Xenopus tropicalis: one gene and its partner. Each later gene encodes a partner of the first gene's protein in a complex. Links are inferred from orthologs where the notes say so. Each region holds a gene or a part of one and is shown in the gene's direction. Other genes may lie near its edges.

Region 1 (3,653 bases):
AAGTTTCTTCTAAAAATCCTTTAGGGTAAGGACCCATGGAGCGGTTTCGTCGCCTGACTTCTATTGTTGCTGGTGGAAAGCTATTTCAGAGAGGATTGTTGCCCATGATAGCAGAGATCTATCACAGGCGACTGAACCTCTGTGGGTTCTTACCCTAAGGTTGAGGTTAATTTACCCAAAATGTTCTGTATGGACAGCGTTTATGTCATGGTACTATAGAACTGCAGGCTGCAGGCAGATAAGGATGATAAAGGAATACTGTCATGGGAAAACATGTTTTTTTTCAAAATGCATCTGTTAATAGAGCTTCTCCAGCAGAATCCTGCATTGAAATCCGTTTTTCAAAAACACAAACTTTTTTTATATTTAATTTTTAAGTTTTACATTGGGCTAGCCATATTCTTCATTTCCCAGAGTGCCACAGCCATGTGACCTGTGCTCTGATAAACTTCAGTCACACTTTACTGCTTAGCTGCTAGTTGGAGTGATATAACCCCCCTCCCAGCAGCCGATCAACAGAAAAATGGGAAGGTAGTAAGATAGCAGCTCCCAGTAGATATCAGAGTAGCACTCAATAGTTAGAAATACAAGTCTGGCTTGGGACTCCTCCAGTTACATGGGAGTAGGAGAAACAATAGGTTATCTGAAAGCAGTTCTAATGTGTAGCGCTGGCTCCTTCTGAAAACTCAGACTCAGGCACAATGCACTGAGATGACTGCCTACATGCCTATATTACAACTAGAAAAAAATACATTTGTTGGTTCAAGAATAACATTTTAAATGATAGTGAATTATTTGCTATGTAAAATTATTTTATTTTAATTTAAAAATAAAAAAGTACCATACCATAAAAATCATGACAAAATCCCTTTAAGCTTAGTCATTCTTTGCTCTGTAAGGTTGGTTTGTATAGGTCTACATTTACCCTCACAAAAGCCGGAGTAGCTGGATGCAAATTTGGCACATAATAAGGACTGCAGTTCACTCCTGTAGGAATGTGGAGGAAGTGCCACGGAATGTAAAAATTCAGCTGGATCTGAGACTGGCAGGGCAGGAATGCCTGGCATACATCTTGCAAAGATAAGAAGGCATATACAAAGCTGCATCTTTATCATGAACGGAGGAGACATTACAGATGAGAGAGTGCTGCTTGATCTTTTGTATATTCTTTGTTGTAATACCTTGTACTTTTATTGTGCAAACTGCATCTTATTTCAGGTACCAAGAAGGGTAGGACATGACATGCTGTTAACAGGTGCCCATTGTATTTTACAGCTTTCAAAAATGTTTATATAGAACTATGAAAAAGGTTCAGTTGCACAGAAGGTTTGGAATAGGCACATACTTTAAAAATCCTTTATTTTCTCCTTATTATGTTTTCTCTTTCTGACTTGCAGTTTCCGGGGAGCAGCGACAATTACCTTACAATCACAGGGCCAGGACACCCTTTTCTTACAGGGACAGAGGTATGTGAAATGATGTAGGATAAAGTCTACTGAATGGTGTTGACCTTGTTGGAATTTGCAGAAGGAACAATGTTGTAAGCTTTATGATTTGATCAAATAGGTATAAGCATATAAATATGAGGATTTTCACAAGAATTCCAAAAGATTGGTTTCTGATTTTGTCCCAGTGCCGTTGCTAACACAGCAAGAAAAATAGGCAATTATTTAACTGGTGTATCTCAAATGTACATTTTTAGGAAGATTAGAGATGTTCTGCTTTGTAATGCCTGACTGTTGGACCCTCCTTGCATTTTCATACCCTAAATCTAGTTAGTTTGCAGCATTTGCAGACCTGCAAGATGAAACAATATCTTTCTGCTAGTGAAATTTTACTCCGTTAACTCTTTGTCCATCTTTGAAACATAACCCATTTTGTCGGCTCGCAATTATTTTTTTAAATTATCTCTTTGCAGACTTTTCACACACCCAGCCTTGGGGATGAGGAGTTTGAGATTCCACCCATCTCTCTGGATTCTGATCCCTCCTTGGCTGTATCTGATGTAGTTGGTCACTTTGATGACCTTGGAGACCCTTCTGGAGTGCAGGATGAGGGTTTTGCTACACAATATGGTGTACAGACTTTGGACATGCCGGTTGAGATGACCCATGAAGTGATGGACCAAACTGGAGGGCTCCTTGGAGCTGGATTGGCTATGGTAAGGGTTTCCTGTCATTGCGCCAAATAAATTAACTAGAGAGGGGCACATTTACTCATGTAGATGCAAAACTACACCTGAGGACTAACTGATATCTTCACAAGCAAAAGGTTTAACTGCAAGGTTACACTATTACTAAGCTTGCCCTAAACAGTACTTATTTATTCATGAGGTGATATGGTGGTATTCTGTCTTAATAAGCTTAGGTATGCTACAGATATCACTGGAGGGAGTAATCTTGAGAGAGTTGTTTTCATGTTGTTTTAATTTTATTAGAGAGAGTTATATTTCCTTTGCAGTAATAGATATCTAACATATTGTTGCAACTGTTTGCACATTTTTTCTTAAAGCTCTATATTTTTATCCTCAAGCAGGTGGATTTTAATTTTTTTTTTAAAACAAGCAACTTTTTTCAACTTTTATTTCCTGCCCTCATTTTAGTTCTTTTTATTGCTTCACCAAAGGCTAAATTTAAATTGTTTAGTACAGTGTAAGGTGGCACTAATATCAGATTCCTCTTGGGAGTAAAACATGTGTACTCTCTCCCAGCTGTTACAGAACCTTGCTGCAAGCATAAGGTAAAACTAAAATTATGATGGTTAACAAATTTTTACATGTTATTCTGTTTTGCATACAGGACTTGGATCATCCCATAGTCACACCCTACAGTGCAAATCCTCCTGTCACCATAGATGTATCAATGACAGACATGTCATCTGGGATTCTGGGACACAGTCAGCTTACCACTATTGATCAATCAGAGCTGAGCTCCCAACTTGGTCTGAGCCTTGGTGGAGGGGCTATCCTGCATCCTGTCCAGTCTCCTGAGGACCATCTTTCCCCCACCCCATCACCAACAAGTTCTTTGCATGATGAAGATATGGAAGACTTCAGAAGGGTTAGCAGAAATTCACAATTCATATTTGTTGCTTGTGTTCTATCTGTATTAACTGTATTTCTTGTTTAGCATGATGTTTTAATAAACTTATGTTCCACAGATAACAGCCCCTAAAAACATAATTGTGGAGCAAGCCAAGAAGCCAAAAACTCCCAAGAAGAAAAAAAAGAAAGACCCAAATGAGCCACAGAAACCACTGTCTGCATATGCTCTGTTTTTCCGTGACACGCAAGCTGCCATCAAGGGGCAAAACCCCAATGCTACCTTCGGGGAGGTGTCAAAAATTGTGGCATCTATGTGGGACAGTCTAGGAGAGGAGCAAAAACAGGTGACTTGGTCGCTTCATTGATTTTTACAATGCATTGCTGTGTGTTTGTTCTAAAACTGCTTTAAAGGAACAGTAACACCAAAAAATGAAAGAGCTTTAAAGTAATAAAAATATAATGCACTGTTGCCCTGCACAGTGTAGCTGCTGTGTAGCCCCGGGGGCAGCCATTCAAGCTGGAAAAAAGGAGAAAAGGCACAGGTTACATAGCAGATAACAGATAAAACACCATTGTATTCTACAGAACTTATCTGTTATCTGCTTTGTGC
Region 2 (4,163 bases), on another chromosome or scaffold:
ATCAATATGTATCACTGACAACTAGGGATGCACCGAATCCACTATACTGGGATTCAGTCGAACCCCGAATGCTTTTGTGAAAGATTCTGCCAAATACTGAACCAAATCCTAATTTGCATATGCAACCTAAGGAACAGAATGCACAAGAAAGAACCATGTGCAGCAAAACATTTTCTACTTCAGCTTATATGTGGCGAAAAGTCCCATGATTTTAAGGATTCTGATTCCGCCCAGGACTGAATCCTGGATTTGGTGCATCCCTACTGACAACAAGCTTTATTTTTCACAAATTACCACACAACCCAGTTTCAGGAAAACCAAAAGTCCAGTGTCGGACTCCTCCAGACTACAGGTGCATGGTGCTCCCCCAGCCCAGCACGACTGACAGATCCAGCCTGCATAGTTAAACTGGTGAGACCTGGACTAGAACTGTATTTGATTTTCTACTGAAGCTGCTTATTCTTCCTGCTTGTTGGAACCCCTAGGCCTGAGGATTTATGGGTTGTTGGAAAGGATGCACCATATCCAGAATTAGGTTTAGGATTCGGCCAAATCCAAGTACCTGGCTGAACCAAATCCTTAAAACTGTGATTTTTTTTGTCAAATGAACATGGAACTTGAACATTTTTAACCACGCGCTGCACGTGCGGTTCTCTCGAATCCTTCCATAGCCTTATGCAAAGTAGGATCCAAATTAGTTTCAGTATTCAGCCGAAACTTTCATTAAAGATTCAGGGTTTGGCCAAATCCCAGAATTTTGGATTCAGCACATCCATTGCTATTGATACCTTGACAAGTGGACAACGTTTCTTTATTAATAATAATTGCAGTAAGTTACACCAATTACCAGTATTTAGTCAAGGCCACAAAGAACACTGTTAAGAACACTGAACACTAGTCAGCCTTTGCGCATGGCTGCATTGTGAGCGTTGTAGCCAACAGCAGCTGGCGCACATTACATTGCCTACCACTGCTTCCCCATGGACAAATAGAGAATGTTGACACTTCAAAAAAAATACTTGAAAGCATGTATTCTCACTCTTTTACTGACTGATTGGGCGAACCCGAGAATGCTTCAGGACATTACGAGTATTCCTCGCACACCAGCCTGGAACGAGTTCTCTTGCCACAATCAACATGGCGACACCGTAAAACCACTTCCGCCATGGCGCCGTTCTGTAGGCGTTATCCTGCAGGACGTCGTTACGCATGACGCCAGAGACGTTTCCGTATTGCGTCTACCCCCTGAATCAGCCAATAGCACATGACGCTTTTCCAGGAGCGGGCTGTCTCCTTCCCGGCTTCAGAAATAACATGGCGGAGACAATGAGAATGTAGGAACGCGCGCGATCCGTATGCCCAAATGTCGCACAACTACCAGGCGCCGATAAGCTGGTGATCGGGAAGGAACGTATAAAGTAGCTTCTCTTAACTTTCGGGAGGGTAAATACTGCCATTCGTAAGGCCCGGGTCCTCCTGAAAACGTGGCTCGACTCGCAAGGAACTGCTCGTTCTGTCTGGCCTATTTCTAAAAGGTTGTTCATATATCTGATACTAGAGCCAGCTTTATATGCCCGCCCATGCTTATTGTACATTGACTAGTATAGCAAGTGCTTTACGGCAGATTAGCAGCCACATTGCCCGGGATCGCAGTAGGAACTGACAAAGTCCACAAGAATGAATATTATTTCCAATCAGCTACTCAGTATGTGTGTTTTACTAGTTTTAGCATTTCAAAGGAGGTGGTCCATGCCTTTCAGCATTCAGGGGGGGCGTTTGCACTAAGCCCCCAGCACTATAGGGCTCTGTTAGGACATTAATTTTGATAAAACCTTTAATATATGTTTCATCTTTTAAGGAATTCTATATATTGAAAACATTTTACATCAGAGATGTCCAGTCTCTGCCTTTCAGCTGCTGTTTAACTGCAGTCATGGTAGATGAGGGTTGCAGTTCATGAATTGGAGAATCACTACTAGTTGGAACACCAGAATTTCTTCAGTGATCAGGGCTCCCATTCCATCTATAAAGGGCAGTATTCCCCCATTTCCAGTTTGTTGGAACGTAAGCAAGTAATCCCGCCCATACACAAACCTAAATGGTGGTAAAGTTAGAGGTGATCCTTGCTCCTTCTGCTTTGGGTGCTTAACATTTGGCTAAACCATTTTATTCTCGCCTACAGTCCAGTATCTAGACCTCTGCCTTTTAAGACAAACACCGTTATGCCGTCAAGTATAAACACATTTTCTGTTTTCCGCTGAGTATACACATGAACCTCTGACATCACATGAAAGCTTGTTGAATTCCGCTGCACATTTAATGTAACTTTAATTATATTGCTGTATGTAGGCAGGCCTGGACTGTTAATCTGTGGATTTTTGCAAATGCCAGAGGGGCTGCTGTAAGTTACTATAGGCAGTCACCATTCAGTGAGCTGGTTGGGGACTGTTTGGGCCTATTTTGAGTCCCAGACTAGACCAGTATTTAGAAGTTCAGACTAATCTGTGGGAATCCATGCACTGCTTAATTAAACATTTGCATAAACAGAATTTTCTTGAGTAAAGGGGTCTGTGATAGCAGTTAAATGCTGTGAGAAATTGACCTATTAGGGTTAGGTGCTAGGAGCTTGAAGCTCTTTATGGGGTCATAATGATTATATGTATTGTGGTCTTTTGGGTATATAGAATGTGTTTTCCCACATTATTGACCTAGACTGCTTATTCTTCCTGCACAAGCCCATATTAAATGCCATGCAGAGGCTGTACAGACAGTGACTAGGGCAATATTCTAATATCATTAAAACTCTATGGGGAAATCTAGATGTGGCATTGTCTATTAGACCAGGAATCGGTAACTCATCTGCCTTAGAGATGCTGAACTGCAACTTCCAGTGTCCAGTCAAATGCTGTTGGGGTACTAGTGGTCTTTTGATAGACTCAGATTGCTTTTTAATGATGTACAAAGGCCAGTTTTTAACCATAAGACTAATCCAGAGGTCTGATGTAACTGGGAAATGAGCACTTACTTACTAACCCCCCTCATGTTCTTATGCACTACTGCAGAATATAGGATTTTGTCCCGATTTGAACAGTTTATATATAAGTGCCCACTTAATTATGTCCTAACAGCCATCTGGTTTTTTTTTTCTAGTTTCAAATTTCTTAACCATTCATCATTTCCCTTTTTGCAGGGGCCTGCTGTCCCAGCACATTGGGTCATCATGAAGCTCACCGATAATGTGCTCCGAAGTTTCCGTGTGGCAAAGGTCTTCCGGGAAAACTCTGATAAAATAAATTGCTTTGACTTTAGTCCAACTGGTGAAACAGTCATATCCAGCAGCGACGATGATTCAATTGTGCTTTATGATTGCCAGGAGGGGAAGTAAGTACATATGTGATATTTAAAATACCTTTTTATGTTGGGAACTAATGTCAGCAAACATATTTACCTGACTGAAGAGCTCACCCCTAAATGCTGTGTTTTCACTTTTGACTAATAAATCACAGGAGAACACCCCCCTTGAAAATATTTCCATGTGCTGGTCCTGTTTTGTATAGACACTGTTAAGGGTATCGTTCTCTTCCAGTACTGTAGCACAGGTAGACGAGACAGGGTATGCCTGCAGACATGGAAATTAGGGTACATGTTCACACTGGTTGGACAGCTCTGCCCTAACAAAACATAGGCTGAAAATGTCAGTAGTAAAGCACAGTAAAGCTGTATTGATTCACATTTACAGCAGCCCTATGCATAGTATGTTACACCCCAGTGATCCCCTCTGTACGTGCTCTTTTTTGTTCCACCCCTGTGAATAAGAATGCTATGATTGGCACATACACACATTGCGTAGTAAGCATAGAGTCAGTGTGTCAGTGATCCCCAACCAGTGGCTCGGGGCAACATGTTGCTCCCCAACCCCTGGGATGTTGCTCTCAGTGCCCCCAAACCAGGTAGTTATTTTGGAATTCCTGGCTTGGGGCAAGTTTTGGTTGAATAAAAACAAGATTTGCTACCAAATAAAGCCTCCTGTAAGCTGATAGTGTGCATAGAGTCTACCTAATAGCCAATCTTAGCCCTTATTTGGCATCTCCATGAACTTTTATGATGCTTGTGTTGTCTCTAAGTTTTTATACATTTGGCTGTGGCTCACGAGTAAGAAAGTT

The links. The genes of interacting proteins can lie anywhere in the genome.
Region 2: tox4 (region 1) and wdr82 share a complex: the UniProt entries of both Homo sapiens proteins name them as parts of the PNUTS-PP1 phosphatase complex. The link is inferred for Xenopus tropicalis from reciprocal best matches to the Homo sapiens genes TOX4 and WDR82.

Annotation. Positions count from the first base shown.
Region 1 is NC_030677.2:141,986,766-141,990,418, reverse strand, and holds part of tox4 (TOX high mobility group box family member 4), read left to right. Parts: intron 1-1,397; coding exon 1,398-1,466; intron 1,467-1,918; coding exon 1,919-2,161; intron 2,162-2,798; coding exon 2,799-3,059; intron 3,060-3,159; coding exon 3,160-3,387; intron 3,388-3,653. UniProt on the Homo sapiens protein: Transcription factor that modulates cell fate reprogramming from the somatic state to the pluripotent and neuronal fate. In liver, controls the expression of hormone-regulated gluconeogenic genes such as G6PC1 and PCK1.
Region 2 is NC_030680.2:128,228,468-128,232,630, forward strand, and holds the start of wdr82 (WD repeat-containing protein 82), read left to right. Parts: upstream 1-1,327; 5' UTR 1,328-1,535; intron 1,536-3,190; 5' UTR 3,191-3,220; coding exon 3,221-3,381; intron 3,382-4,163. UniProt on the Homo sapiens protein: Regulatory component of the SET1/COMPASS complex implicated in the tethering of this complex to transcriptional start sites of active genes.